Linked DNA regions of Astyanax mexicanus. The protein of the gene in region 2 binds, or shares a complex with, the protein of the main gene of each other region. Links are inferred from orthologs where the notes say so. Each region holds a gene or a part of one and is shown on either strand. Other genes may lie near its edges.

Evidence for each region.
Region 1: the proteins of rab3gap2 (region 2) and rab3gap1 are in contact, whole or in part, in a cryo-EM structure (PDB 8VYB), measured with the Homo sapiens proteins. The link is inferred for Astyanax mexicanus from reciprocal best matches to the Homo sapiens genes RAB3GAP2 and RAB3GAP1. Residues at the interface, in NP_036546.2 of Homo sapiens: Arg197, His198, Pro199, Gly200, Ser276, Pro277, Phe278, Asp279, Met281, Lys282, Ser285, Asn286, Ile287, Gly289, Phe290, Asn291, Ala292, Ile294, Arg377, Phe378, Gly379, Leu380, Pro381, Asp382, Arg385, Cys395, Thr397, Leu398, Arg407, Arg415; in NP_036365.1 of Homo sapiens: Thr19, Ser21, Trp23, Glu24, Glu142, Ser143, Asn146, Leu147, Leu149, Ser150, Ser153, Ile154, Ile169, His170, Trp173, Arg174, Met176, Arg187, Asp189, Glu191, Met192, Val193, His194, Leu195, Arg196, Pro199, Tyr202, Ile211, Ser214, Lys215.

Annotation. Positions count from the first base shown.
Region 1 is NC_064418.1:15,187,067-15,203,763, reverse strand, and holds the start of rab3gap1 (rab3 GTPase-activating protein catalytic subunit), read left to right. Parts: upstream 1-9,516; 5' UTR 9,517-9,574; coding exon 9,575-9,592; intron 9,593-9,701; coding exon 9,702-9,757; intron 9,758-13,659; coding exon 13,660-13,735; intron 13,736-14,492; coding exon 14,493-14,625; intron 14,626-14,726; coding exon 14,727-14,805; intron 14,806-16,048; coding exon 16,049-16,168; intron 16,169-16,697. Other genes in the region: ubxn4 (UBX domain-containing protein 4), read right to left, coding at 1,524-1,692, 3,700-3,818, 5,151-5,179, 5,271-5,373, 7,795-7,876. UniProt on the Homo sapiens protein: Catalytic subunit of the Rab3 GTPase-activating (Rab3GAP) complex composed of RAB3GAP1 and RAB3GAP2, which has GTPase-activating protein (GAP) activity towards various Rab3 subfamily members (RAB3A, RAB3B, RAB3C and RAB3D), RAB5A and RAB43, and guanine nucleotide exchange factor (GEF) activity towards RAB18.
Region 2 is NC_064421.1:42,288,380-42,305,030, forward strand, and holds the start of rab3gap2 (rab3 GTPase-activating protein non-catalytic subunit), read right to left. Parts: upstream 9,354-16,651; 5' UTR 9,049-9,353; coding exon 8,931-9,048; intron 4,344-8,930; coding exon 4,267-4,343; intron 3,791-4,266; coding exon 3,679-3,790; intron 3,037-3,678; coding exon 2,955-3,036; intron 336-2,954; coding exon 288-335; intron 184-287; coding exon 108-183; intron 1-107. UniProt on the Homo sapiens protein: Regulatory subunit of the Rab3 GTPase-activating (Rab3GAP) complex composed of RAB3GAP1 and RAB3GAP2, which has GTPase-activating protein (GAP) activity towards various Rab3 subfamily members (RAB3A, RAB3B, RAB3C and RAB3D), RAB5A and RAB43, and guanine nucleotide exchange factor (GEF) activity towards RAB18.

The DNA.
Region 1 (16,697 bases), on a different chromosome or scaffold from region 2:
CAGAAGATCTTAGCTTATTTCTTTACAATGATACTTTGTTTCTACTTGTTACTGTATTGATTGTGCTGTGGGTTTAAAAAAAACTTACTTAAATGTTCTGATATCAATTCATAGAAACCAGAAATCAATCAGGAGTTCAAAGACATGCCATGGTTTTATAGAGAATCTAACATTAGAGAGAAGTTTTATTGTCACTCAAAGTTATTAAAGCCTCCTGGAGCAGTTAAACAAGATGCATCTCATTTTTAGTAATTAGTTTGTGCTCTCTATGCCAAACATTTATAAAATAATATATTCAAAAGTCTTTTCTGACATTGTCAGTTGTGTGGAAGTGTGTGAAACTCATATTAAAGTGTATGTTTACACTTCTGTACACTGTTGTGTTAGACACATTAATAACAAAGAGTTTTGAATTTATTCTTCATGTAAACACGAATATTTGTGATAATAGTAAGTTAGTTACTCTTAGAACTCTGAAAATTTGTTTTATATCCGACTAAAACTTGAAATTGTAACAAATGTTCCTAAATTAATTCATTAATATTAAATCAAATTATGACCTTGTAAGTAAATTAGTGGTGATACCCAGCTCTAGCATATATGTTCACCTGCATGTAATTTGGAGTTTTTGCAGTAAAAAGTAGTGATGCCCAAAATATATGGCAAGCAAACATGTTAAAAATTTAAAAACAAGTTTGGCTCAGTAAGAAATAAGTCCTGAATACAGTAAGTTAGTCAGAATAATTATATTTTGATGATGCAATCATTAACACAGCCAGCCAGGATATTCAAGAGATGTTCAGAGTACCAATTAATATTTTTAAATTGAGGTTTTGTAATGACATTTTCTCTGAAAATTAGGACAAAATGCACTTTACCTACTTAAGTGGCAAAGGTTTATGAAAACCTGCAAAAAATGGTATTTGGTTTTAGTTTCTGCCAAAAAATTAAACTTTGGTGTGTAGTTAAAATTAGTATTGCCCAAAAAAAAGAAAACATTTATGAAACCTAAAAGTGTACTATGTAAAATCACTGCTGAGGCAATTTATCAGCCACCAGTCCATCCGTGAAATGGGACCACCACAAGACCACCAAAGGACCAGATATAGTGTTGCTTAAAGGTTTGTGAACCCCTCAGAATTCCAGCATAAAAACCTTATCCCATCTGTGAAACATGGTGGTGGAAGTATCAAGGAATGGGTAAGGACACCCTTACATACTTGATGGAACCATGAATTCTAAATCATATCAGAGAATTTTAAAGGAAAATGTCAGGACATCTGCCCTGAACTGAATCTCTAGAGAAGGTGGATCATGCAACAAGACAATGACCCCAAAAGATCTACTTTTAGCACTTCTGATGAGGTTTTAGGTCATATTTATGCAGAAATATATACAACTCTATAGGGTTCACAAACTTTTAAGCACCACTGAACAATGCGCACTCTCAGCACAGCAATAAGGCACAGTAAGTGAACACTAGATTCAGGTAAATCTTCCAGCAGCTGGAATGCATCTCTCACCTTTAGAAGCAGCAGCAGTGGGGGGATTCTCCGCTGAGATGGATGACCTGTTCACTGAATGGGCTTGAGGAGCTGGGGGCGGGGTCTTCGGGGCTGCAGCGGAACTCTCCGGCTGCATTTCTGTCACTGCGTTGGCCTGTTCCACGCCGCTCGTCTGCTGAGAGTGCATCTGTATAGCACAGCATAAGAAAAAACAGTCATTACACCTGAGTCATCTGCTATTATAATAACATTCATCATCTGGAGCACAGATGCTCTGAACATCCTATAGACGTTCCAATGATACAATGTTCCAATAAAACTGAACAACACATCAGCAGGATTTCTAAAAATCTATAAGAAAAGTATAAGAAAAAACAGATTTCGGGCATTTTCACATCTAAAAGTCTGCACTGAAGTTTTTATCTTTGTCACATTGTATAGTGTACATTTGGTACAGATAGTTTTGGCTTCAGACTGCAGTTTAGGGATCGCACTAAACAACTTAAAGGAAAACATCCTGTTGTCATCAGCTACGTAGACGGAGTCTCTCTATACTTTATATTAATAGGTTTGTAGAATGTTCAGCTTCGCCAGGTGTTGTGAGAATTCTAGCTCTCGGTCAGAATCTGACTACCCTTCCATGTCACGCACTCCCCTACAGAAGAATGAGTGTAAAAAATAATCTATCTTCAGATTTATTTTATTTATTTTTATAAATAAGAGTTAATCTACTGTTTACTGTTTCAGTAAATAAATGAATTCCAGTCTAAGTCTATGTGTTCATACTGCTGCTTGAGGCACCTACACGGCAAGAGAAGTCAGATGTCAGCACAACACCAGTTTTTTTTTTTTCCTCTGGTTTGTTTAAACACTGCCTCAACTTCTTGTAATTGAAATCTAAACACACCATTTAGTAAAGTGCTTTCACACTGCATATGAACCGGACCATGGTTCAGTAGATCCGGACCGAGACTACTTCATTTGGTCAATTTAAACTCTGGTCTTTTGTTCCGGACTGTGGCACACAGCCCCTTTCACTTTGGTTCAGACCCAAACAGGTGAAAGCACATTGTTATATTATATAGAAAAGAAGGTTATGTCCTGATCCAGTTTCTTTTTCACCAATCCAACCTGAGTATTAGCCAACACTGATCCTATTATCTTTATGTTTGTAACAAATAATAACAAAAGTAAATAAGCTAATAATAAATGCATAAAATGCATCAATATATGAAATAAATGTTTTTTATTTATTAAACGCTGTATATAATATGCTGTGCCAGACTTTAAACTATACATCCAAAAGTTTGTGGATCCCCCTTCTAATAAATGCATTCAGCTACTTTAAGTTACACCCATGTGTAACTGAACACACACAGCTTGTCTTGTTTATTTTAACCAGCTATAACTCAAGATTAAGGACATGGCAAGAATATACTTCCACACTCGACAGACAGACAGACAGACAGACAGACAGATAGATAGATAAAGCTTTTTTGCAGCATGGTCAAAAACTACTAAAAACTAAAACTGACTTACACACAAAGTACAAGCTATTGAAAACCCAAAAATCAGTGTCTCAGAAAATTAGAATATTATATAAAGACCAACTGGTACTTTTGACAGTGTGCCAAGTCCTGCTGTTGACCAACACCAGCAGATGACATGACTCTTTAAACCATCACTGAACATCAGTTAATTTTGCATTTCATTTGTAAATTAGGGGAGCAGAATCTGGAGGAAGAGTGGAGAGACACACAGTCCAAACTGCTTGAGGTCTAGTGTGAAGTTTCCACCAATCAGTGATGGTTTGGTCTTATATAATATTTGCATTTTCTGAGAAACAGATTTTTGGGTTTTCATTGGCTGTAAACATTTAAAATAGATCCCTCTGTGTGTAATACATCTATGTCATATAAGAGTTTCATATTTGAACTATAATTACTGAAATAAAGTAACTTTTTTTAATGATATTCTAACATTTTACATTGTGAGCCTACATTACACTATAGGGCGCTCTGCTAGAATGCACAGCATTAAAAACAAAGAAACAGAACAGCACGAAGCTTGGAATATCGCATCATTCAAATCTATTATGCTTGTACGGCCCCTAATTCCCATGCACTATTTTAGGCTTGTGGTTTCTCACTGAAAAAGAAGGAAACTGTTTTTCTGGCTGTAGCCTTTGGTTTACCTGTCTGACTTTGTTTATCCTCTTCTTAAGCTCCTCTGCAGAAACACCGCCAGCAATGACCTCCAGCGGAATACCATTCTCACCTATGAAAAAACTGGATGGAATGCACACCACTGGATCTGCAGGGTACCGGCATTAAGGAACAATAAACAGGCTTAAAATGAAGAACTCTGACTTTCTCTTTCACTTACTCAGACCCAGTCCAATATTTACACTTAAAAAAAAACTGTTGGAGAACCTTATTTAGGTAACAATACTGCCTCCCCTGTGGAAGACTAGGGTTCAGTTCATTGGCTGGACTAATAAGAGTCCTTGAGCAAAATTCCTAACCATACATTCCTCCATTTGTTTAACATCAAATATGAATGTGAAAAGATTCTTCCATTCATTTAATGTTCATTTAATCCACATTCTTTGAATAGGTTGAAATACTGACATCTGAAATCTGTTTTAGAAAATTAAGTGTAATGGGATGGAGTGCTACAGACTAGAAGCTCTCCAGCCCGGAGGGATGTTGAACCCAATTGCAGAACAGTTGATCTCAAAGAACATAAATCCTAGAAGAAAGGAAAAAAATAAATAAATAGCACACCGCTCCTCACGCGGGAGCGAACCCATGTCTTTAGGCTCCCAGTCCAATACACTAACGCTGCCTCGGCTAGAGAATTGGGACACCGGGGGAAAAAACGGGGGGAAAAAACGGCCTTATAAGAAGATAGAGAGCTCAAAAAAGGGCGGGAAAAAAACGAGAACAGGCGGAAACTAAAGTCATGCCGAGTGCACCGGAGAGACAGAGAAGAAATGTGAACAAAAGCTCACCAGAGAAGCATTTTATTGATTTTTTTTCCAATATCAATCATTATAGTTTACTGCCGACCCCCTAGTTGCAATCCATGCATTTACTGAAACATAAGTAATTTAGACCTCACCCCAATTACAGTAGAAAGGTACTGCTTGATTACTCCATGTAGTGGCACTAAATCAAATGAACAGGGCAAACCTGCAGTGCAGATTATTGGTTGCAAAATTCTGTGAAACTGACACCAATAAATCCATGAATGTAGGTATTTTCTTATTCAGGAGCATTTTATCCTCTTCAAGAACTCAGAGCCCATTAAGTATCGTACAAAATTGTATTGTGATATATTGAGTATCATTGAATTACAGTATAGAATATCATCATTATAGCAAGCAACGTATTGTGATAATACTGTATCATGGGATGCCCTGTGATTCCCACCCCTAGCAATAATACAGGATTTTACTCAAATATAACTTTCCTGCACGCTTCACCAGAGAAACAGAGTGCAGTTAGCAGCATGCCAAGCCCAAAGTACCAACAGTGGTGGTGGTCTTCTCCCTATAACAGTCAAAGGAGGATTACATTGATTAAAAAATGCTAAGGAATTCTGCTTTGAAAGCTTCAAATAAGGGCTCTTTACAAAGGATACATATCTGTGAGAACTGGACACACGTCTCGCTGAAAAACAAACAGAGAATTCATTTCATAAACAACAAGTCATTAGTCATTTTCACGTCATTAGAGCAATATTCTCCGATCAGTTCCTCACCTTTTGGCGTCTACTTTAATTGCAACACAGCAGTTGTCTGTGAGCTCTGCTACCTGCTCATCTTCCCAACTGAACAGCATCTGCTTGGACTGCTCATCATCTCCTAGATATGTTTAAATGAGAAAATATCTATAAAAACAGCATCATCAAGATGATTTAACAAAACAAGGTGCCAACTTTTTAGAGATAAACATTTAAGTCCCAATCATTTCAGTTCATCAGACCTGATTTTGCAAGAGTCAGCTGTGCATGTCCATCTGATGCCCCAGCAAGCTAAACAGACTAACCCAGCTTGCGAAATCAGTTATGATGTAATTTAAACGCTTAAAAAGTCTGTAAACACATGCTCATCCAAAGCTTCTCCTGATAGTTGAAACCAAGGGTATTAAAAGGAAAAAGCTTGCCACAGCTGTAGAGCTTCTGCTTTTCAGGGAAGGCTTTAAAATAACTGCTGGAACATTGCAGCAAGAAAACTGGATTCAAAACTGGATAACATATTAATCACATTCTCTGGTATTACTTGTTGCCAGTTGTTGCCATAATAGAATTATCTTGTTCTCAGACCATACCAAGTTTGGCTGTAACATTAAATATCTCATTACATATAATGAATGGGCTGCAACAACTAATCGATTAAACAGATTAAAATAAGTTGTTGGCAACTACTTTAATAATCGTTTAGTTGGGTCTATGTTATTTTAAGTACAGTTGCTACTCCCTAATGTGGGGCAGTAAGCCAACCAAAGCCGAGGCAGTAAAGCAACATTAGACTGGATGCATGTTGGAGCCACAGGTGAAAAAGATTCACGGTAAGTTTGTAGTGAGTTAATTCTATTTTTTCTCTCACTTAATGTTTTTAGAGCCTGCTAGAGCAGTTCAACAAGAAGTCTAAACAAGAAGTCTAATTTAGCATTTTTCCTTCCACCTTAAATGTGGCACCACAACCAGCAGTTCCAAAACAAATCACAGTTTTAGTCAAGCTAATCTTAGCAACAAGTATTTTTAACAACAATTTTTTCACTCACTCAATGTAACTACAGCCTGCTAGAGTGCTTAAACAAGACTTTCTCATTTCAGTTTTAGTAAATGTATCTCTCATTTGCATTGACAGGGTTTTCAAAACATTTTAATAATACATTTAAAGACTTTTTCAAGTTTTATGACTGTCATAGCATGTACATGTTCAAATATAAATATATATTTCCTTTTCCTTGTATTCTAATTATTCTTATAATTCTTATTATTTTATTCTTTTTATCTGATTAATAATCGATTCATGGAAAAACAGTCAAAAGATTAATCTTATTAATAAGTTAATACATTTTTGCTATACGGCACTCAGGCTATACCAAGTTATTGCCATAATGCAAATAACCCATTAGGCCACACCAAGCTGTATCTATTAATGTATCTTTTTCTCAGGCCAATATCACTTACCTCATGCTCAGAATTAAGTTTTAGAAACATAAACAATCTAAATGTCAGAATTATGTTTTAAATATATAAAAAAATAAAAATTTCAGGATTTCATTGTGAATTTAGCAATTCTCCTTCTCAGAATTGTTTTAAATACATAAAAAATCAAAATCTCAGTATTGCATTGTAAATATAGCAATTCTCCTTCTCAGGATTAGGTGTTGGGTATACAGTTGCATCTCAAAACGTTAGAATATAATTAAAATTTTACTTGATGTCATAATTCAGTTTAATATATTTTGGTACTTTTGGCAGTGTGGCAAGTGTGCCAAGTACTGCTGGAAAATGAAAGCTGTATTTCCATAAAAGTTGTCAGCAGAGGGGAAAAATAAAGTGCTGTAAGATTTAACTGAAAAACACTGCACTGACTTTTGACTTGATATAACACAGTGGACCAACACCAGCAGATAACATGGCTCTCAAGAGCATTTTTTGAGACACATCTGTATAGTACACTCATTCTCAGTATTAAATTATGGATACAACAATTTTTTTTTTCTCAGGATTAAAAAAAAATACTTTAAAGTCTCAGTGCTTCGTTTTAAATGCAGCTTTGAGTTTGTTAATAGTGTAAAAATAGAGATTTTTCTGCGTGTGCAATGCTATGCCCCTATCACTAGCATTGTAAGCCTGATGGAAGCATTGTGTTCGTTAACTGAATGATTTAAAGGAAAATCATGAAAATGGTTTATGCTGAAGAATTCTCTTAACACACAGAGAAAACTGTGAACAACAGCTAAACTAGTTAGCTAGCTGGCTGGTTAGCTTGTGTTTCAGGATGACAGCAGGCTAAACAGATCAGCCAGGCAGAAAGCTATTCTCAGCGCTAGCTGCTTTACTGTTAGTCATGTAGCTGTAAACACTAATAATGTAGTTTGTGGGTATCTCGAATGGTTAAAAACCCATTCGGTCAGTGTTTAATGTCGCTCCGTATGTCCCTCTCCGCTGCTGAGGGCTGCTGTGTTGTGTAAGCTGGATTCTCCGGGTTTCGGCAGGCCTGACTCAGGGAAGCTAACACCGAGGTACGGCGCCGTTCCTGCTCGTTTACCTGTGATCACCACCACGAACACGGAGCTCCGCTGCTTGGAGGAGGCGATGGCCGCTGGGATCGAGCCCTCAAACCAGCGCATGATGTCTGGATGGTCTGTTCTGGTCACTTTTCTGTGGGTCACTTCTGTAATCGCATCGATGCTGTCAGACTAGCCAGAACCTTCAGAATCATCACGGAAGTGACGATGGGGCACGGGGCAAAGCATGCTGGGAGTTGCAGTCTTTAGAATAATTCAGTCTGTAGAAGAGAGTTGTTTTTGTTCCCAGTTACTCAACATCACTGACAGTTGTGGAATATTTAGTAGTAAGTAGTGAAATTTCACCACTGGACCCCCATTATTTCACTAATGTTTGTAGAAGCAGTCTCTCTGTATACCAAGCTGCTTGGTTTTATACACCTGTGGCCATATAAATGATTGGAACCTGAATTAAATTATTTGGATCGTTGAGCGAATATTTTTGGCCATGTAATGTGGGTGATGCATGGGCTAGATGGGTTTAGGTGGGTGTGGACTGTACATGTGTTTTCAGTGGCCTTCAGTTGGGCTAAGCAAAAAATACCTTAGGTTAATCTTACATTGGTCCTATCCAGGGACATTTCAAGTCAGATAAAATCTCCTGGAATCTAGAACAAGTGGCTAGAGTGAACATAAACGTGCACACAGGCAACAGAGCCTTTTTTCCCCAATCATGTGTAAAAAAGAGGGGGAGAGGGAGAGAAAGGCACTCCCCTCGTGTGCATGTTCATGAAGCGCATGCAAAACAGAGAGGGTTCTGATTGGCATGTTTTCTCTGCAAAGAGTCTGAGTTATCCAATCAGTTTTTGGTGTGGGCAGGCAGGGTTTTTATTTTATTTATGTCCTGGAAGAGATGCATTCAATGAGTAACAGAAAGAGCATCATGGCTCCCATCAAAACTCATTTCACGTCTGACTACTGTAAAGTATATCCATGTCTGGTAAAATAAAAATAAAAAAAAGTGAAAGTTTGCCCGCTGAACAGTTAGTTACTGGGGACTGAATGATTGTGAAAGGCACGTTGAAGTGAGTTAATATATACCTAAAAAAAAAAAAAAAAAAAAAAAAAAAAAAAAAAAAATATATATATATATATATATATATATATATATATATATATATATATATATATATACAATACATAATAATATACAAATATTTTTATAATTTATAACAGTAATTTGCTGAATTATCTTTGATTTATCTTTTTGGTTTTAAGTATATTTGATATATGTTTCTGTGTTGATGATATTTTTAGTGTCTGATATAGAGCAGTTTCTAAAACCCCATTATTAAAAGTATGAACTACTTAACCTAAGCTTCAATCCTCTTTAGTATTAATCCACATTAAAAATGTGAATGTTTCTTTGTTCTTTTAGAGGATTTGAACTCTGATTCTGAGAGCATGTCACTGCCTGTGTGGAACCAGCAATTTCAGTCACTTATAACAACTAGGTGGAACAGTTTTACCAGCATTTCAGGACTATATTAACAAAGCGATAAAGAACTCAACAACAAACACTAACAATTGCTGTTTTAAAGACTGTAGAGTTGATCATTTTCTTAGCCATAACCATCAACAATAAAGGTAATACTCGCTTAGAACAGATGTCTCTGTGTGTAATACATATATAATGTATGAGATTCACATTTTTGAACTGAATAAATAAAGTATATTTATCTCTCTGGACAGGTGATCTCTGGAATACATTTCCCACAGTGCACTGCGGGGTGGGAAAAAAAATAATAAACAGAGACCGTCATGGCGGCGGACAGTGATGTGAGTCTGGGTTGATCAGAGCTGATATATAAACTCAGAGTTAAGGGTTATATTATTACCGGGTTTTTTAACGGGAGTATAACCGCGCTGTGTGTGTTTTTATTTACAGCCCGAGTCGGAGGTGTTCGAGATCACCGACTTCACCACCGCGTCCGAGTGGGAGAGGTAAGTAACGATCAGCTGATGATCCTGCAGCTCGGGTTCGGGTTGAGTTATGGGTCAGACAGCTCTCAGACTGAGCTCCACCTGATACCTGACCCAGCAGAACCCAGAGAGAGAGCCTGATAAACAGTGTGAGCTCTGTTCTGCAGGAACACGCTGTTTAGAATCAGAACTCTGCTGCTGCAGATACTGGAGCTCTGCGGCCTCTGACAGACCCTGCAGACACACAGACAGGCTAACCTAGCTTAGCTAGCTTAACTCTCCAGCTTTTACTAATTTATTTTACAGGATAAATGACACTTTTAGATTGCATGTGTTAAGTTAAGGTCTTTAGTTTGTTTTAATGTGTAGTTTCGTACGCAAAAATGCAGTTTTGAGGCATTTTGAAGCGTTATTAGCTAACCTAGCTAGAAAAATTGCACTGGCTAGTTTTGAGTAGTCAGCAGTGACTTGTGATGACGTGTGTAGGGGTTTGGGATGCTAAAAGTTTATATTTCTTATTTATTTATTTATTGAATTGTGTTAATTTAGGGTTTTAACAGGGTTAATATTGCTACTTTGATAGGGTTAATATTGCAGTGTTTCTTTAACATACTGTAAACAACAAATTACTTTAACCACCCATATAAGCTCATTATATTGATGTCCTAATCCTGTTATTGTTTTATTTGGTAATTGCTGTGCTGTTATGAGTGCTGTTATGCCAATTATACACTAGACAACTTCGAAAATGTAACATTTAACAGACTAAACTATGACAATTTCTCGCATTTAAAGACAAGTCACAGACTTTTTACTTGCAGACCAGTCACAAGCTAAGATTTTGCAAAGACTCTGAAACTTGCAGGTTCACTGTTTTCAAGACTGCAACTAAAAACATCAACTATCTTGTGGTGTGTTTTTTCTAATTATGTGAGCATGTGTTTATTTGAAGTTTTTTCTGTTGATGTGGTTTGTAAAAGGTTGTGGGTTTACTAGCTTGTAGGTAGCATAGCAAGTGGTAAGGAAACATTGGTTCTTGGTCATAAATAACCATGGTTTCCGAGCCATCGCCAGAGCCTTATGCATGTCCAGTAACCGTAAACATTCTCGCGGTTGCCTTATGGCTTCCTGTAGCTCTCCTATTGGGTGTTGACATTGTTCTCATCACTATTTGAATGAACCAGGTCTCAAGACGTACTATAATATTAAAAATGGTTGATTTAACCTGAACGCCAGGAGGAGAAAAAGAGTTACTTAAACCATCATTCCTAACCACCTTACACTGAACGATCGAGATGACGCGACCGCAACTCAGCTCTAGCAAGACTCTCATGATTTTATCCAAACACTGGAAATGTATCTGCGACAGTATATTCGTTTGAAAATTGTTTGGTATAAGGTTGGCAGTAGCGGTAAGACTCTCAAAGGCTAATTGTAGGTAGTGTTCCTCTTGGTGAGAGATTGTTGACTGTTAGACCAGCCTTTATAGTGCACTTGAAGGTATTTTGTAAATGATTTCAGGTGTAGTCAGTTTAAACACTGAGCTATGCTGTCCTACAGCCCATCAACAGTCTATTTTCATGCCTTACATCTGTGTTGTTTAAGTAGCAACAAAGTTTGTGAATATATCTACACTGATGGGTATGATGGTCTTAAAGTGAGGTGTGTTCAGGTACATTTCTGGCTTATTACTATGTTGGTAGTGGAAAACAAAGGTGCTCCACTGACTAATTAGAAACTAGTCAGATGTCAACCATCAGATGTTCATCGTCATCTTGGCAACATTGCTGTTCCCATAAGTGACCTGCTCTCGCACCTTCACAGCACAAACAAGCTGGTAAATTTTCTTTGCTGAGAACTGCAGAAGAGCAGTGTCATTAAAATAGCTATCCGCCAAAGTCAGAGCCTACCTTGCTCTTAAAGAGAATGGCAAGTGTCCTGCTGATTGGTGTGTTTCAAAATGCACAAGATGTACTTTTCCCGTCATTACGATAGCAAAGGCACACTTACACTCCCTAAAGCAAGCTGAAAATTGCTAAAATAGCATCCTGTTTTTTTTGCCACAGACAGAAGGGTGATAAGGTGCTGCTCTATATAAAGACTCTTATAGATCAATTTTGGCCAGTGTTCCTCTTGGTGAAAGATCGTTGTGTGTTTTGCCCAGTTGACAGACTTTTAAAACTGAATAATTTTTAACTAGATGTGAGCAGAAGTGAATGGTCCAACATTTGGTTTTTATTTTACACATATTGGGGTTTCGAAGACTGAAATTAGATTATCTTAGGTGGATTTGATCAACAGGTGTCTCAGGAATATCCCCATCAGATTGCAACATTTGTTTGACCTTTCAGGTCACCAGTTTTTTTTTTTTTTTTTTGGGGGGGGAGGAATAATGGGACCAGCTATGACAGAAGCTGTGGCAACTCATGTAACCCAGTTATATTGTTGCTATTACTTAAAAAAAATCTACCATTTCTTAAATGATAATTTAACAGAATAACCTTTCAGTGTATGGAATTTGTGTGTGACAGTAATTGTATGTTATAGGATTTAGAGCAAATTCATATATTCTAATATATCCCAGACATTTAAAATCGAAATATTGCCATTTACATTGATTCCATATTGGTATGATTTAATGTGTTGTGTGAATCATTTATTGGGTGCTGTTTGGGTCCATGAAATTAGATTTGATTTTAGGAATACAGACACTTGTATGAGTCTGTATGTTTAGAACAAAGACTAAATATTCAAATTCTGTCCTGTTCAAACAAGCGGAAGCAAGGTAGCAGAAGATCACATGTCCATGTGGTGAACATGAGGACTTTTGATATTGCTTAAATAATTAGCTTTGGGTTTTACAGCTCAACACCCTGGCAGTAATCCAGGTGTGGGTTTGATTGCACTGTTTGTTCAATGGAGGACTGACTGTGTATGTACACAGGCTGTCAAGACTAAAGACGCTGTCTGTTTACATATCACTGTTGTCTCTCAGTGTTTGTAGCCTGAACACAGGAAGGATATGAAAATGATGGTCAGACCCCAAAATAAACCAATGGCTAGAAACCATAAAGGTTTTAAATTACGGCAAGATAAAATCAGTGCGACTTGGTTATACAAAACTGTGCAGATGTTTTAGTCAATTCTTTCATCAGTAAATGATTGTACTGTAAAAACCCCAGTTTTAATTAGAACAGATGAAGTTACACATAAATACAGTAAAAATGACAAGAATTTAATTTTAAAGCGAAGTAGATGAGTTCTTGAGAACAAGTCTGAAGAACAAAGGTTGATCCTGGATTTCTCTAGGATGCCCCAAACAGCAGATGTGTTCATTTGTATTACCGGCTCACCTTATATGCCTTTCTTAAGCTCTGATTAACTGAACCTGGTATTGATATGAGAACTATAAATAATACTGTACTTCATTGAAGATGTTTTAATAAACATAATAATGAAGCAGTGTTCTCTGCTGACAACCTTTATGGAGATGCAGATTTCATTTTCCAGCAGGACTTGGCACACTACCCACACTGCCAAAAGTACAAATTGGTCTTATATAATATTCAAATTTTCTGAGACACTGATTTTTGGGTTTTCATTGGCTGTAAAAAAAAAACAAAAAAAAAACGCTTAAAATAGATTACTTTGTGTTGCATATATATTTTTATATATAGTTTCACATTTTGGACTGATTTACCGAAATACAGGAACTTTTTAATGAAATTACAATTTTTGAATTTTTTATTTTCTTGAAATATTTCTCAGTGTTTTTTTTTTTGTTTTTTTTTTGTTCATATTGCCAAGAACATAGGTATCGGAAAAATATTCTGCAGTATTGTGATATTATTTAAGGGAAGTATCGCACTCTAGGGCAGATATCTCACTATGCTCAGTTAACCTTTGGTGTTTGATGTTCATAGGTTTGTGTCCAGAGTTGAGGAAGTTCTGAATGACTGGAAACTGATTGGCAGCAATGTTGGCAGACCACCAGAGAAGGTAAATTGTCCCCCATTTAATTTCATTTCTTTACATTACATTACATTACATTACATTTGGCAGACGCTTTTGTCCAAAGCGACTTACAATAGTCAAGTACAATGTAAAATAAGTTTACAGGTAAAAACATCTTTGGATAGGGATAAAAGGAGGTCAAAGGGAATAATAGGATAGAGGAGTGAAGCAGGGGAAGAAGGAAATGAGGTTAGAAGTAGTTAGTGTGTTAGAGGTGTTAAGAGAGTAAGTGCTCTTTGAAGAGCTCTGTCTTCAGGAGTTTCTTAAAGATAGCGAGAGATTCTCCTGATCTGGTAGTGGAAGGTAGTTTGTTCCACCATTGGGGAACTCTGTATGAGAACAGTCTGGATTGCTTTTTGTGAATGTTTGGCAAAGCGAGGCGACGTTCATTGGAGGAGCTCAGCGGCCGGGAGGTAGCGTAAGCCTTCAGGAGTGAGTGCAGGTAGGAAGGAGCCTGTTCTGTCATCACCTTGTAGGCGATAGTAAGAGCTTTGAATTTGATGCGAGCATCAACTGGTAGCCAATGGAGCTCAATGAGCAGCGGGGTGACATGTGCCCGTTTTGGCTGGTTGAAGACCAGACGTGCTGCTGCGTTCTGGATCATCTGGACATTTTACTTTACATTTATTTATTTGTTAAATGCCTTTAATGAACAGAAAAAACAACCTGGAATGGTATTCTAATAAATCAATTATTTTTATTTATTTCGATTTTCTGTCTGCTTCTACTCTCTCTGGTATAGGGTGAATACACCACTGGCACATGGGAGGAGAAGTCTAAAGAGATCAACTTTGCTGATTTTAAGTTCTCCGTAACGCACCACTATCTGAAGCAGGATTCAGTGGAGAGCGAGGGGAAGGAGGATGAGGAAGAAGGTATGGCCCGGATGTTATCAGATCACTGTGGGGAGAGATACTGGGCAGATATCTGCTGCTTTGACTCTTCTGCTCTAATGTCACAACCTGTTCTTCTACAGATGCCTTCCCTCTGGCCATGCAGGACCTGCTGTGTATGAACAACGACTTCCCACCCAGGGCTCACTGCCTCGTCAGATGGTTCGTACAACTGCACAGAACCACTAATAGAGCTATATTGGCTAGAACACTGCAGGGTTACCATGGTTATGGTATGCTTCCAATCGAAGTAAATGGAAAGTACACTTTTTTATCTAATCAGAACAGTGGGATCTAATGACATGATCTAATAGGCAGAGTTTAAACACAACACTAAATGAACTGCTGTCTGACACCAATCTTTACATGCAAACTTATAGTTAAAAATTGATAATGTGTTCTTGCGAATGGATATAGTATTGCAAAACGTTATATTGTGATATGCTGATATATTGTTATTTATTTACACCACTAACTACTTTATATTTTTTATAACTAGCTTTATATCAGATGTGTACACTTTAAAAAATAGTATTGCCAAACGGGCTCTTTAAAGAGCAACTAAATCCTAAACCATATTTTTTTCCATGTATAGCTGAAATGTGTTTCTTACAAGTAATGGAACGCACTCCGGCTTAAACATTTCCTAAACATAAAAAAAAAACTTTTTATTGTGGTAATTTCCGTTTCTGCAGCTCCCAGGTTCAACTGTGCTATTGTCGTGGATGGTGTGTCACAATATGCAAATCTGTGTAGCAGTAATGTAGTGTAATAGTAGCAGCCAAACCCCTTTCCTTTTTTTTTTTTTATATAGCCTTTGCTGCATGTTGGCAAAATACCTATTGAGCCATCCACTACTTTCTTCCAAGCTTTATTTTTCTTTAAATTCCCAATTGCCCTGTATTTTGTCAAAAAGGCTTCATATAAAACAAAAAAAGCAGAAACAGAGGTCAGAATCTTCTTTGCCTCTGAGACCTTGCACTTTTCTACCATCGGTGCGAGGATTGGGTTTAGGTCTAAAGATATATATTGGCCAGTCCATCACCTTTATCTTTAGCTTCCTCAGCAAAGCAGTTTTATTTTGGATGTGTGCTTGGGGTTGATCTCATGTTAAAAAAACTGCCATGCGGCCCAGTCTCTGTAGGCAGGGGATTGTGCTCTACTTCAGAATGTCCCAGTACATGTGGGAATTTAACTCCCCATTGCTGGCAGTACTCAGGCTGCCCCAGAACATGATGCTACCACCACCATGCTTGACTGCAGACAAGAAACAGATTTCTTGGTACTCCTTACCGGGATGCTGCTACACATGCTTGACACCATCTGACCATCTCTCGGTCTTGACAGGTGTGTTTGTATAGTACAGTGCAGATCTTAGAGCATATCCTTTTTGATTTTCTTGTAGGTATGGAGTTCGTGAGTTTGTGGTTATATCTCCTGGGACGAACTGTGAAGCCATCATCAGCGAGTCCAAGTGCAGCCTGCTCCTCAGTTCTGTCTCCATCGCCCTGGCCAACACTGGCTGGTAAGTAATGGATGATTTTATTAGTAACATTAGCCCATTACCATTCCGCCTATTGTGCCCCTACAACTTCTTAAAATCTTAAAATATTTATTATTTTAAATCTTAAAATAATGTTACAATGTAGTAATGTAATTTCCTTATAACAGACTATAATAATTCACTAAAGCAGGGGTCGGCAAGTAAGTTTGGCCGCGGGCCAGATATTTACCAAGCCATTATGTGGCGGGCCACAAAAAGCCCAGAGGGTTGTTGAACCCAGTTAAATTCAAAGCATGTACTTTGTTTGCACTTTGTTTGTTTGTTGGTTTGGTAGCTAGCATAATTTTCCATTCCACCTTAAATGATGCAGTAGATAAATTCTGAGTGATTTAAAGTGGAATAGGAAATTTTGTTACAGAACTTTATTGCTTCTCTGCATCACAACAAACTGGCAAAGTCACCCATGGAGCACCGCTGGTAGCTGCTAATGAAGCTAATGTTCCTAATATTGATTTATTTATTTTGATAACTGGTTCTTTAAAGGTTGTCC
Region 2 (16,651 bases):
TACTGTGAAATACATTTTTCGGTCATACTACCCAGCACTAGGTGGTGGCGTGTGTAGGGGGCTGTGTGTGTGTGTGGGAGTGTGTGGATGTAAAAAAGTTACAGTACCTCTGTGTAGAAGCGAACGTATCCAGAGCTAAACCCAACCACAATACAGGTCCAGTCAGGACGTCCTGTGGAACTTCTAAAAACAGATTAGACACACACTAAGTCAGTTCAGAGGCCTTATTGTGGATTGTCTTCTTTTAATACTATATTTAATAATATATTTGGTAGGGGTGGTCTTACCTCTTCTGGCTGGCCAATGGTATGCAAATGACACTGCTCACACATTCTCTAGAGACAAAAGAAAAGACGATCAGAAAGAGTCTTGTTTATTATATTTAAATTTCAATTAACTCCTATTTGCCATAATACACTCAACAGTAAATATAGTTATTATGTAAGTCAGAAATTGTTATATGTAGGGCTGCTTTACTAAATTAACTACAGATCAGTGTTCCTTGGAGACGATCACAAATCATATTTCAGGGCGGGGCTAAATGCCATATTACCCTTTACTAGAGCTGGGCGATATGGGAAAAAATCTTATCACGATATAGTTTTCCATATCAGTCGATATCGATATGTATCACGATATAAATCAAATCACTTTGTGTCACACTTAAAGGTTTGTTTTTATTAGTGAGAGAATAAGGGAGTGATGGAAGTTTTATCACAATATTTTTTTCTGTATCTCCATAATTATTAGGGCTGGCCCGAATAGCATTTTTTGAGCTCTGGATATTTGGCAGTAATTGGTAGCGAATATTCCAATATTAGTTTTAAAAAAAAACAAATTAATCATGAACGCGAGCCAGAACCCGAGCTTGAACGTCAGCCTGACTCAGGCGCTGCATGAACTCGGGCTTTTTTCCAATTTTTTCCAATTTTCCATGACTGAAAAAAAAACTTGGGCTATAAGCTCAATATTAAATATTTCGTTTGTTTAGAAATTATTTTATATTCTTAAACCATGTTAAATTATATTAGATTAGTAGGGCTGGCCCGAATAGCGTTTTTTGAGCTCAGAATATTGGGCACTGATTGGCAGCCAATATTGGAATATTTGTTTTTAAAAAGACGGATTAAAAACTGATTAAAGTAAAACAAAAATTGCAACTCGGCCCCTTTAATTCACCACAAAGTTTTCCAAGACCCAGCCGGAAAAAAAAAAGATTTCCCACCTTTTCCTCAGCTGGGTCGGGCTCAAAAAATGATTTGTGATAGGCTGTTTTTTGGTTTGTTTGTTTAAGCACTTAGGCTTTTGTACTGCTGCAGTGCAATATTTAGATTTTATATTCTGAAATTCGTTAGGTTTTATTTCTTTTAGCATTTTGAACTTTTTTTCCAATTTCAAATTTATTTTTTTCTGTTCGTTATGTTCTATCGGTCCTTGCGTTTTTTGTAGTTGAAGTTGAATTTAATATTGAAGTTCAATATTTCTAATTTATATTTTGAAATTCGTTAGATTATATTTATTATTGTATTTTGAGCTCACTTTAGTTGGTTATTTTCCAAATTCATATCTATTTTTCTGTTATTATTAAATGTTATTAGCTTATTAGCTTAGCTTGTCATTTAGCATACAGAACTTCTCACGGATTTTTAATGAATGTTGATTTATTAATTTAAAAGCTGTACCTTATTAAAAGTATTTTAAGCCAGACAGACACTGTGTGATTTTTTAATGAGTTTATCTGCACTTTTAAATGGTTTGTCCTGTAGGAAACGCACACGATTTGTATGCTGACACTGTTGTCTGACTGAGGAGCTGCTTTCCGTCAAATGCAGCCTGTAGGCAGGAAAAAATCCAGCCAGAACCGACCATATCATGAGCCAGTTTTAAAGCCAGTAATTTAGTAGAGCATTAAACTACAAATCTGAGATGTACCTGCTGTACTTCTTAATCTCTGCCCCCAAAACGGTCCATTAACTTGCTTGACAGACGCGTCAAATCCCCCGCGAGCACGCGCGGCGCACAGCGCACCGATTAATTCATGCGTTGAGCTTTAAACGCGCAGCTGAGCTGTAATTGGGGAAATATCACAAAAATCACAGTGTGATTTGTTACATTAAAAAAAAGACCATTTTCTTCCGCCTAATCTGAGAGGAAAGCGGTGTTCTCGACCGGCCCGAGTTCATGCAGCGCCTGAGTCAGGCTGGCGTTCAAGCTCGGGTTCGGGCTCGCGTTCAGGCAGATAATCTAAATGATAAATGATTTTGTGTTTTTGCACTTGGGCCATAAGCTCAATATTAAAAAGTTCGTTTGTTTAGAAATTATTTTATATCCTTAAACCATGTTAAATTATATTAGATTAGAGGAAAGTCATTTAGACATCATTCTTAAGGTGTTTTTGTCCTGTTACCGCTCCGCAAAAAAACCTCTTCCTTTAATCCGCGCCCCACATACACATTTTTGCAGCACCTGCCCCGAGGTCCTAATATAAATTGAATTAATTACATTTAGTGCTTAAAATTTACTTAAAATTTATTTAAAACGTGCTGAACAGTGCGGCCGTTTATTCCCAAAGTCCAAACACTATGGTTGTTTGCGTGTGTCGGGCCATACTCCACTATTCTTTAGGGTTTTTTGTTGCATGCATGAGAATAACTATTACAATTTTCTTAACTATTTATTAATTTGCTCCAGCGTCTTCTGGATTGATTACACGTTGTGTTTTCGTTGTTTGCCGCGCCACTTAGACGGAAATGGAAATGAATGTTTATCGAATTCTATTGCACAGGCTTATCATCGTCATCGAGGGAAAAATTATCGCGAAACAAATCGATATCGTTATATCGCCCAGCACTACCCTTTACTGGGTATTTAATGTTCTAAATCACAAATGAACTCAAAAATATGTATTTAATAGCTTTATTCCTCTTAGTTCTGGCTATAAGTTCCATTCTTACCCCTCTTCAGCGTTCAGCATACCACTCCAGGACACTGCCAGGGTCATCTCCTCCCTCCCAGAGTCATCATTCTGCCATTTAGCTACAAATCAATACAGCATTCAATCAGTCAGCAGTATGGGAACAGTCAGCAGCAGGTGTGTGTAGGTATGTAGCTATTTATATAAATAAATAGTTTCATAAATATATAAATATAAATCTACAGTATTTCACTCCTGTAACATATATACTTAGTATCATTAAATTGTCAACTTTACTGGAGAAAAAAAATTAATAGAAGTCAACGTATTAAGATTTTAGTTCAAGTCATGTTGGAACATTTCTATTAATTCACTCTTCATGAATTATGACACATTTAGTGGTGTCAACAGAATAAAACAATGTAATCAGATTTATCACAACAGTATTCTGTGATTAACTGCGTTTAATCGCACTAGTTCTTCTTAAGATTTTATAGAAGTTATATTCATAAATATTCTTAAGAAGTATTTATAGTGGCTGTATAACTGGAAATAAAGGAATAAATGTAAGCCTATTAGGTAGTAATGTAAGTCTATTAAAATACCGGTATATACTTGTATGTCTAGGGGGAAATAAAGCCAACGTGAGGCTACATATACTTATACCTATATATATATATATATTATATATATATATATATATATATATATATATATATATTATATATATATATATATATATATATATATGCATATGTGAATACCAGAGAGAAATGCAGCCTTATGTTCTCGAGCGATGACCATGAGGTCTGAGCACGGAGAGATAGAGAGAACACAGTCCTGCAGCCACGGCCCATGCTGTACCTCTTCTTCAGCCTGCAGAGAGAGAGAGAGAGAGAACCACATACAGAGAGTATTGTGATGCAACCGTAGGACAATAGAAAGTATTATTACATTTATTTCAGTCTTCATAATACACAATATTTATGAAGATAGATGTGATTGCTGACAAAATGCATTAGTACTGGCAGATTCTTCAAAAACAAATTGCTATTCAAATACTCTCCCATACTAAATATAATAATTTGCATTCAAAGTGTGCTGCACTACATTCAATTAAACAGTTCTTTAAGCACTAACGATATCCATGAGGCACTGTGTAACCCAAAATCTGCAGTTATACTGCCAATCCCTAAATCAAAAATAAACAGTAATAATAAAATAATCAGCTCTTGTGTGCATGTGTGTATACTTATAAATAATCTGAGCTAAAATAATGCAGTGATGCTTTGGTGACACTGTGGATCTGAGGGTAAAACAGGGGAACAGACAGATTAAAACTGAGGACAGACCGTCTCTCCATCTTCTTTATTCTCTGCTGACGTCTCCCACGATCCCCAGTCTGAGTCATCCCACGTCAACTCATTCTCTACGGAGGGAGAGAGAGAGAGAGAGAGAGAGAGAGAGGGGTGAAGGGAGGAAGAGAGGAAAAGAAGGGACAGCAGGAAGGAGACAGAGGAAAAATACAGAAGAAAAAGAACAGTCGTAAAAGCATAGAGAGAAGGAGCAGAAATAAGTGAAAAGGGAGAGAAAAGAGGGGAGAAAGAAACAGAAATACAGAAAGCGAGAAAGAAGAACAAGGAGATTAAGAACAGGAAAAGGAGTGAAAGAGGAAAAAGGACAAAGAGAAGAAAGAGAGAGGAAAAGGGAAAGTGTGAATAGTGAATGTGACAGAGTGAGAGAAAAAGAAGAGGGAGAGATAGAACCACAAAGAGAGATGTGTTAAATATGGCAGTGTGGAAGCACAGGCACCTTCATAAAAGTGATGTGCATGTGTGTGTGTGTGTGTGTGTGTGTGTGTGTGTGTGTGTGTGTGTGTGTGTGTGTGTGTGTGTATGTGTGTGTGTGTGTGTGTGTGTGTGTGTGTCCATGTCCTTGCAGTCTTTTCTCTGGGGCTGAAAGCTGTTCTCTGTTCCAGAAGAGCTGCTCATTCTGTCAGAGTGAATCTCACTGTCTGACTGTCAGTCTGCATCATCCTCTGCAGGTGTGTGTGTGTGTGTGTGTGTGTGTGTGTGTGTGTGTGTGTGTGTGCAGCAGCACTGACTGTGACGTCAGTTTGTTCATGTGAGCGCTGTAAATAACCAACCTCACAACAATTCAGATAAATTTGCTCCTTTGAGAAATGATTCAGAACCCCAGGGACTCTCAGGGTTTGATTCATTAGGAGTCATTCTATATGATTCAGAATCATTTTATGAATGAATTGGACAGAGAATAACCAAAGCAGGTTGTGCAGAAGGCCTTTTCTTCTTTAATCGTTCAATCGTTCTCTTCCTCTACCACTGTGTAATATATTCTAGTCGTTCAGGATGACTCATTCAGTAAAGGGCAAACACAGTGCTCTCTCGCTCCCTCCCTTCCTCCATCCCTCTCTCTCTCGCTTGCTCTGTCACTGTAGGGCAGCTAAACGGTGGAACCCATGGACATCACTTAATACTGAGTTTCGTCTCCTGAGATGTTTTGCAAGATTTTTACTGCAGCCACATTCAGTTGCTTACCTCCTTTACTTTTGTGTTCAGTAAGTAAAGAAACATGCTCAGCTGACCTGGCTGGCCTGACCTACTTTATCTTGGGCAGCTCTTGGTTTGCTTTATCCCATCCATGAAAAACCAGCATATCATTATTTCTAAGCTAAACATGGATGTCTAACACTTTCAAGGAATTCAGCGTGCTACAACCCATTCTACCAGCCATGACACTTCCTCCACCATGTTTGACAGTTTGACAATGTAATATTGCTTCATTAATATTGATTCTGAACCGTTCTATTCCTACTCCACAGTCTTCTGGCATGGGGTCAATTTCATCAATAATCTATATAATGATGAGATCAATAGACACTAAAGCTAAAGAAGCACTTGAGTTGCTTTAACCAGATGTACAGTGAAGTATATTCATTCTGCATCATTTCACAGAAGATCAAAGGAAAGTAGTGCTTGTAGATACTTTCTGATACTTTCTGCTTATATCAGTAACCAATCTATCAATAAACACAAATTATTTTAATGCCCATGGCATGCCACTGCCTCCACCATGTGTGACAGATGACAAGGTATTGCCTTAGATCATGAACCCTTCTGTTCTGTCTACACAGTCAAATTCTTCTTGCTTTCATCTTATGTTAAAAGACCCTTGTTTTAGAGGTAATCAGTGTAATATGGCTATTCTACTTTTATGGAGCGTTATCAATGTTTTCTTTTTTTCTTAATCTTGAAGTAAAGCATCTGAAGTTACTTATAAAGGTGTCTCTAGATTGCACCTTATGTAAATAGTTATATATAGCACTAAAAAGGGTTTCAGTATAATTATGACAGCCAGAACCATTTTTATTAGAATGTCGATTTTGCTTTTTCCCCTAATTATTAAATAATTAGACCATGATACACAAAAGAGGCAGTTCTGGACCATAAAGTATTAGAGTAATGGTTGAGGCCAAAGCAATCATACCACTAAGTCAGTGCTCCGGATGTTAATTGGAAAAAGGCTGTACCCTGGTGGCTCATATGAGTATAAAATACTAACTCAATATTGTTAAATATGATACAACATGATTTGGCACACCCCTACCAATAAGCATCCATTACTTACTAGCAACAGACCCCACAAACAGCTCTGGAAAAAAATAAGAGACCACTTAAAAATGAACTGCTTGAATTTTTACAACAGGAATGGCATAAAGTTATTCAAAAGCAGTGTGTAAGACTGGTGGAGGAGAACATGCCAAGATGCATGAAAACTGTGATTAAAACCAGGGTTAATCCACCAAATATTGATTTCTGAGGTCTTAAAACTTTATGCATATGAACTTGTTTTCTTTGCATTGTTTGAGGTCTGAAAGCTTTGCATCTTTTTTGTCATTTCAACCATTTATCATTTTCTGCAAATAAATGCTCTACATGACAATATTTTTATTTGGAATTTGGAAGAAATGTTGTCCGTAGTTTATAGAATAACACAAAAATGGTAATTTTACTCAAACATATAACTATAAATAGCAAAATCAGAGAAACTGATTCAGAAACTGAAGTGGTCTCTTAATTTCTTCCAGTGCTGTATCTCCAGCTAATCAACATTAGGGCTAAGAGGGTGTGTTACAGCAGAGAAAATACTAGGATATGCAATACTTCTAAAATCCAGGACTGGGGAACCAATCCTATAATCCCAACAATCCCAGTAGCTGCTAAACCTAGCATGACTAAGCAAGCAGCCACTTTTACTGATATTGGGATGATTTTCTTTACAAAGGCCTTTTCTCAATACTGGATGGCACAGCAACTGAGACCAGGATTAGGCTTAATCTAAGCCCAGTCCAGTAGAGATGATGGATGGTCATGTTGTTTCTTTTAGCTCTGAAGCTCATCAGAACTATATCAGAGTCATGCAGGACTGGCAATCATCAGGAACGTGTATATTTACTGTCACAATATTGTTTACTGATGTTTTATAAAAGCTAAAGCTTGGAACTTTCAATGCCACCTTAAATACTGAAGAAGTAAGTTAACAGTCTGGCGCTAGTAGGATTCTGGTAAGAACTACTGTAGGATTTAAGGTGGAATGGAACATTCAAACAAGCACCTTTTATTTTGGCTACTGCTTTTCTATTTTCGTGTTTTTGTAGGCCTTTTCTTTGTGCAGCTTTAATCCAGGCTACTAAACTAGCTTAGCTATCATATATGTGTTAGTACTATGAGTTAAAAAAAATAAAATAGAAAAATCATGCTAGCTAATGTGGAAGATTATAAAATAACAAGATTAGCTTACAATAATCATGATAGCCAAAATCTTAACCTATGATTTCTTAAACTATGATTAAAACACATATTACACAAATAGATCTATGAAAGCTATAAATCTATATTCTACTAATCATTAATCACTGAATCAAGAGTTAGTCACTAAACCACACGTACACACAGTTATTATTTGATTCATAAAATCAGCAATGACATTTGAATGGCCCAACCGAGAAAGCACGCTTCCTCGTTTTACTGGTAAACATCTTGAGGTTACAGAGGCTAGCAGACTAAAAGAGTTCCTCTTTTACTCCTGGGCTCTAGGAAGAGTTCCTCTTTTACTCCTACACTCTAGGGACAGGTCAACCAGGGGAGAGCCGTATAGAAACCAGTGAATGAAGTACATTGTGTAACCTTGCATTAGAAGATTGCGTCTACAAAATTATACATGCAGCTTCAAGCTTTGTTAAAGATATACTAACTAATTAATCTTACTGTAGATGTAGTAAAATTATTATCAATAAAAGAGAGTATGAATTGAGAGGAACCGTGCCTTGTTGACCTTAAGACATGTCGCAAAGGGGAAATTGATTCTCCCTTGTCACCTTGGCAAGGGAAGTTGACCACCTACGATTTCTCAGAAGCAAAGGTCAAGACAGCTTTCGGGTTCCTAAAGAAAGTCTGGAAAACTGAAGTATACCATATTTGGAAAGATAAGCATAAAAATGAGAAGCCACCTAGCAACTAGGTTCGTCACAAAAGGGTATAAAGGATGGAGTCAGAAATGCCGAGGTTCAGAAGAACTCGGGGCGACATGCCTGTAATGTTCTTCCCAGATCTGAAATGTTCTTCCCAGATCTGAAATAAATCATACTTGTTCACTCTCAATCTCCGTGTCGTCTGAATCCTTGGATCAACGAACATGCAACACAAAAAGCTAAGACAGATTTTTCTACACTAACCTAGTTAACTGTTAACAACAGCTAGCTTCAGCTAACGAAAGCTTGCAGCTGTTTGGGGGGCTTTGGGTCAAAGTGTGTTCTTCCTCCCTTTTCTGAACTCTTTTTTGCACATGCTCTTTATTTTAACAACTACTCCTTACCTTTTACAATATTTTCAACACTTATAAGATAAAATAAAACTAAAAATTAAGTTCAGTTACTAAAATGAAAACCAGAAAACAAGACAACCAAGGAACCAGGAGCCTCCTGTCCTCCACTCACCTGCTGGGTCTTTGCTCTCCGCCGGCCCCGCAGCAGCTGGCTTCTGGCTGGGGAAGAGGAACTCCCGGACCTGCCGGAGCTCCTGGACCCGACAGAAGTCCTGCAGACAGCAGGACATCCTTACACGGCGAGGCAAAGCTCAGCCTGTGGCTAATCTGCCCCGGGCTGGGGCATTAAGGAGCAGCAGCAGCAGGAGCGCCAAAAAACGCAGCAAATACAGTAAAATACAGTGTTTCTGCGGCTCTAAATGCTCGCCTAAAATTATAAACCCGTTTATGTGTTACCTACAAGGTGCAGGCGGTTTTCAAATGTTAGAAAAATGAATAAATGTGGGTAAAATCAGAGAGAAATTCGGTCCAAACTGTTGTTTTGCTCTCGGGCTGAGAGTGACACATCCTCAGCTGTGGAGGAAGCTCGGGCTCCGCTAACGGCAGCACCGCGCCCCCTGCTGGCCTGGATGCTCTACATGCTGTACAGCAGTCAAGCCAAGTCAAGTGGTTTATTGTCAATATTGAATGTGTACAGTACCTGCAGAGGATTTCAATTACGTAACTCTCTTTTCCAAAATTACAGCAAGTACAGCAAGATAAAAATATAGATCTAAAAGAATGAGAGATAATAATGTACACCAAATATGCGTGAGGCAATTTTGTATTTTTCAAAGTTAAAACTTAATACTTAAACTATCAGTTTCCATTTTTCCCCAGTTAAGTTTTAATTACAGCACTAAGTTACAGTACTGTGTTGATTACAGTACTAGGTGTCAGTACTGTGTTGATTACAGTACTAAGTTCCAATACTGTGATGATTACAGTACTAAGTTCCAGTACTGTGCTGATTACAGTACTAAGTTTCAGTACTATGTTGATTACAGTACTAAGTTTCAGTAGTGTGCTGATTCCAGTACTAACTTACAGTACTGTGTTGATTCCAGTACTAACTCAGGATGCTGAGGGGCAGGATGGGGATGGGGGTAGAGCAGGGAAAGAGTTGAGCATCCTCACAGCCTGATGGATGGAGCTGTCCCTCAGTCTGCTGGTCCTAGCCCCGGACTCCTCCCTGATGGCAGCAGGCTGAAGAAGCTGTGTAGTTAGTGGATGGGGTCTCCTGCCAGGCAGAGGGCTTTTCTTGTGAAGCTGGAGCTGTATTTGTCCTGAAGGGAGGGGAGAGCGGTGTCAGGATGCTGTGCAGTCCTCTTACCCCAAATTGGCCCAGGAACACCATAGCTGTTCCTGACAAATTAACAGAGGGTTAAATTAATTTATTTTAAAAATATGTGTAAAATGAATTACTAATAATAAAAAAAACATTACAGTACCAGTTTAAAATTGGGAAACTCTTCTTATTTAATCTTTTTTTTTTTTTTACATTGTAAATTTAATAATAAAGACTATATTAAAGCTACAGAGAAACACATGCTGACTTATTTTGTGATAAAAAAAAAGTGTTAAACAAACCAGAATATGTTTTATACTTTAAATTCCAAAGACCACATTTAGCTTTGAGGACATTCCAGGGATTTTGTTCTAGTTGTTTCCACTTTCTGGACCTGGACTACGCACCTCTACTAGCTAACGTAGCTAGCAGCTAACAGGTAGCGTCATAATTCTGCTGCGTTCAGAGTAATTTTAGATTTATTAGACTTAATATTATAATTTATTAGACTAAACCTACTATTAAACATTTAACTCATTTATAACTATATTTTTTAGATGATTTAGGCAGTACACTTTAGTCCCTACATATTAGCTAGTTAACGCTAGCTAACAAAACAGCTAGTTAGCTAACAGTGCTAACTAACAATTAACAATTATTTAGACCTGGTTTAACCTAGGTTTAACACTATAATAAGGGCTAGGATTAGTTTTTTGATTGTTTTATTATTTGTATATTAATTATATTTATTTATATTTTGATATTTATTTATTAAAAGTGTTTGTTTATTTTTAAAAACTCTGTACAATACTGTTAATTTCTGCAGTCTGTTTGGCCCTGGATTCAAACCACTAATTTGGTAACTTAGGTTAACATAACATAACATAACATGACATGACATAAAACATAAGGTAACATAACTAGGTTAGCTAGTTTTATAGTTTAACTGTAAACCTTTAACTGCTGAACAATAATTTAATATTTAACGTTATTTTACTTTATTTGTTTAAGTGGTTAACTGCTGAACACTAATTTAATCCTTTTTTTCACTTTATTTGTTTAAGTGGTTAACTGCTGAACACTAATTTAATACTCTTTTGTTATTTTATTTGTTAAAGTGATTTATTGCTAAACTTTAACTATTTAATTTTATGAATTAAAGTCCAGAAAAAATAATTATTTGTTCTATTACTAATTAATTATTTGCTGAAAACAAAACAGTGTCATCCTTGATCAGAGTAACTGTCTGTAAACGGTCTTTCGTTGCAGATGTTTCTGACCAAATACTACTTTTCTTTCATCATTTTCCCTTATTTTTTTCACACATAACATAAACCACATGCCTTAGCTGCTGTATACTCCACAGAATATCTGACTTTGGAGGTAGAGGATCTGATTATAATGCAGGCCAGAAGGAGAAGACGTTTTCACAGGAGAAAACCTAAACATGCTTTAAACGACCAGAAAGCTTCTGAGCTTCAGCCTGTGGAAAATCATCAGGTAATGAAAACATACATCTAACTGTTTTACAGCCTGAACCATGCCCAGCTTTCATTGATCATTTAAAGAGTGGAAAATTTTTCATTTAAGTTTACAACTAATTGTTTTTTTAAGAATATGTTGGGCTAAAAATATATATTTTTTTGTGTCCAGCTGATGGTTTCAGCCATACTGAACTGCAGGTTGGTGACCTGGCTTAGAAACAGTGCTTTAGGCCTCTGGTTGTCTGAGAGAGCTACAGAGCTGAGAAACTGCAGGGTGGTCAACACAGCAGTCAGCTGGCTGAATTCATCGCCCTGGACCATGCCCCTTCTCCTCGTCCTCCAGGCTGTCCTTTGGCTGCTGCTGCTGTGGGTGCTGGCTGAGCTGCACCTGGGCCTGCCCTGCATCCTACTCGCCCTGCTCTACTGGATCTACAATGAACCTGTGAAGAAGGCTGTGGACCAGGCCTGGGCCCACTGGAGAGATAACAGGCCTGTGAGGGCGGACCAGTCTGGATCCTGAGACAAGTAAAAAAACAAGACCTTTTAAGACCTAAAAGGAGCTGAAAGAAGCAATAAAGCTGAAAAACATCTGGAGGTCTGTGGTTTGAAATTATACATATTACATTATACACACATGGACTTTGTTGGTACCTCTTGGTTACTAAAAGATAACAGATAACAGAACCTCCGACATGTTTCACAGTAGAGACTGTGATCTATAGGACATCCTCCCAGAAGCTTTGAGGGTTGTCAACATGTAGTTTGACCAATTCCAGTCTGGGTATTTATGTTTTTTTTTTTCCAACAATGGTGGTCGTCTCCCATTAAGTCCACTTTGGCTCAAACAAAGACGGATGGTGCGATCTGACACTGATGTTCCTTGAGTTTGAAGTTCACCTTTAATCTCTTTATATAGACCCACTGACTGATTACAAGACTGTAGACACCTGTGATGCTGTCCCTTTGGTCACATTATCAGGTGTACCATCATTTTTGTGTAGGCCTGTTTAATGAGTTTACTTTTTAAAATAATTCTGTTGAACCAGGGTCAAAATCAATGTCGGATTTCATTTGTGTATTTTTGGTTATTTCTGTGACCATTGTGATTTTCCCTTTATTTTTTAGCAACCGAGGGGTACCAACAATTCTGTCCATGTGTTTTTCTTGGGGGGTTCTTTAGTAAAGGCAAAAAGTGAATTGAGGCTTGTACTCCTTTAAGGTCACACATATGGGTGACTGTTGTATCATATTTTTCATGAGACAAATACCTTAAAAATGTTTTTTGTTTTTTTGATAGTTGATTGTTTAAGCCTTTGAAAAAATATATTTTCCCACCTCAGGTCAAAATTTGACTGTATAGCAGCTGATGGGAACTTTTTTCAGTTTTCGCCTTCACATTTTATCCAGATTATGCATTAATTTTATCAGGCTTTTGTATTTTTTTCTGACTCTCCTGTAAATTATACACACACAGACAAGATATTTAGAAGAATTACAATGGATACAAAACTTTATCCCCCATTTAGAGTTGAAAAAGTTTGTATTTAGCTCACCTCAAAATAATGAGTATCCCAAAATAGTGACTTAGCTTCTCAAAATAACGAGATAGTATCCCAAAATATTTACGTAGCATTGCAACATAATGAGATAGTATCTGAAAATATTAACTTAGTTTCACAAAAATGACTTAAATCTCAGAGTAATAAGATATTATCAAAATAATGACTTAGTATAAAACAATAATGACTTCATTGATCTCAAAATAATTTGATAATATTTATTATTATTTGTTTATTATTTATTAGTATAATATTTCATAATAATAAGATAGTATCCGCGTAAACATTTTTGTCTTATTGTGATAAAGCACTGTGTGCACAAGGTGTCGCCATCAGCACAGATTTTACAGAAAGGAAACCGTGTCACACAACTGTGACGGTCTTGTAGTGTGGAATATAAATACAGAACAGTTAGCCATAATATTAATGGCAGACCTACACAATATTAGCACAGGGCTTTTACTGTTATGGTTGTTCTGTGTTTATATTTTTACTGTAACACAAAAACATGCATCTCTATTATCTATCTAATTCATGCCTTGAGCTACTATTAAATTGCAGCCATTGTTGTATATGAAAATGCAGTTAGCTTATCTAATCCCTGAAGAACGGTATTGCCAATAGAATAGGACTCTCTGAATCCAACTAAACATTAAAAACAATAAAAGTGTGCTTAAATTGTAGATGTAACATCACATTCATTTTGAGGAGGTGTATATAAACTGGTAAAAACAAAAGCAAGATATGTCATTGCTGCACGCATTTGCTATTTAGGTTTCTTCACCTACACTAAACAAACGTTTTAAGTAACATTTTAACACATAAAAGTTCATCATTTAGTAAAAGTAGTCTTACTATAAATAGCATAAGTCTATAAGTAGAAACAGTAAACTTTAGTTATTCTGCATACATTTCAAGTACACTATTATTATATTTAAACACAACTACATATCACTCTCTCTATGTCTGTCTATGTATCTATATACTGCTCAAAAACAAATTACAGGAACTCTTATTAATCAGAGTATACAGTTATACCCATACATATTTAGATATTGAGTGACACAATCTTTATAATTTGGGCTCTGCATGCCACCACACTGGATTTGAAATTAAACAAACGAGAAAAAAGCACACAAAAGGAGAAAAATGAAGCTCGAGAGCAACATTTTCTTCAGCGCGCGCACAATTCTTTTTTTTATGCTCGCTAGTTTCACATTTGGGCTCACGAGAAGTTAATTTACACTCGCTAGTTAATTTTTTTCACTTGTATTTTTGCGCCCTCGACTTTTGACATTAATGTGAAGCCATACTGTACACTTCAGAATTCATCCTTCTGCTTCTGTCACATCTTCAATAAACACTGGTGACCCAGTGACACTGAAAGCCATGCACGCCCATACCATCTTACTACCACCACCATGTTTTACAGAGGATGTGGTGAGATTTGTATCGAGTTTTCTTCTTCCCATCATTTTGGTACAGGTTAATTTTAGATTGTCCGAAGAACGATGTCCAAGAACTGGTCTGGCTTCTTTAGGTGTTTTTTGGTAAAGTCTAATCTGGCCTTCCTGTTAATGATTTGTACCCTCTGTGTTTGCTCTTATTAAGTCTTCTTTTTATGGTAGACTTTTTATTGTAAGATACTGATAAAACCTCCTTTCTGGAGTGTTCTTCACTTGGGTGGATGTTGTGAAGTATTTTTCTTCACCATGGAAAGAATTCTGTGATAATTCCCCACTGTTGTCTTCTGTTTGTGAGTTTGTGCTCTCAGCTGAAAAAACACAAATAATACACAGACAAGACAAACTTTTTTTCTTCCATTTATTGAGTTTAAAGAACCTGAAATATCCACTAATACAAATCTCAAAGCTGCTTTTTGTAACACTTTCAGTTTCTCCAACATCCAAATATAAATTAAGGAAATAAAAACAAACACATTAAAAATGATAATATTAATAAAAAAGAAATTACGACATATTAATGAGGCAACAATGTGCACACACAAAGAACAGTTATGTGTTTTTGACTGATGTAAGCGAACGATTAGAGGTTTTATGGGGGGGGGGGGGGGGGTCTTTTCTGTACCTCCAATCAGCACTGACCACTTTGCTGGTCAGTGAAGTAATAATAAAGTGAGTAATAATAATGGAATTATTATTTTTTTTAATAATGATTATTTTTTCTGTGTACACCAGGGGGTGCCATTACAATAGATTTAATCCACAGCCAGTTACTGTACCACGTCTGTCCTGCAGAGAACAGTATTGCGAGTAAGGGCAGAAAAAAAAAAGAGTAATGGAGAGAGGGAGAGATAGAGAGAGAAGGGGATATATAACAAAAAAAAAAAGTAAAGTAAAAGAGGGACAGACTAAAGATATGTAAAGTTCTTCTGGTGCACTGTTCGTTTCCTTCCTCACATCACTTTTTGAAGTCTACACAGGAACACCTATCTCTAATACATTCACCAAACAGCAGCTTTAATAAAGCATCCGGTTTTAATTTCACTGGCGTCCAAACAGACACCATGACTGCTTCTCAGAGCTCTTGAGAGAAGGGTAAACAAGCTGTAAACATGTAAACATCTGGAAATGAAAAATACTGGGAAAAAGATTTGAGGTTGAAAATGTGCAATTATTAAATACTGTTAATATGCGTGTTTATAAGTCTCATGTTTCCGAGAATAAGATCAGCAGTTAATGTGCTCCTCCTGCACAGAGTTTCATAGAAGTCCCACATCCAAATGAATCATGGACTTACATAGATTACAAGGACAAATGAATGTATCCAGGTTTTATTTTGTATCAAGCTGCATTACATCATACTCTAGAGCGGCCTGTGTGCATTGTTTGAGACAGAGCAAGTATTAAGACAAAATTGGAGACATGAAGCAATTGTATGTGTGTGAGTCCAAGAATGTGTGTCTTTACTCTTGAGGGGTGATACTGCTTTAGGACTGATCAAGGCAAACATAAAAAACCAGCCAAACCCACACAATCCTGCACTTTCCAGCCTAATGTCTGTTACAATCTGTTACACCTGCTGCAGGGTGGCTGTTTGTCTGTATCTAGAACACAGGCAGTCTAACAGAACTGCTGAGAGGATGCACCCAGATGTGTATTTAGCAGATGTTTTCGATCAGTAGTTGATGTAACTGAAACATCATTAAGATTAAGATCTTCTGGGGATTTGTTGGGAAGATCAATGAAAAAAGGAACAGAAAGGCCGAACCACAGGCGTGAGACAACAGTATATCAAGGTATGAGAAGGACCTCTGAAGACATAAAAATATATCTGAATAAAGAAGAATAAAGAACTGCCAAATATTATTATATTATTATTTGACCCTTGACAGTTCTATTTCTAAAAAAGCTGAGATTCAAATATTTGAAGTCTGAGTTGTTTCTAATGGTGTACTCACACTAATCATGGTTTGTTTGTATCCCTCCCCACTCCCCCACTGTTCTGCACTCACACTGCGTTTAAACAATCCATGCCTGAGCACGCTCACAACATTACTCAC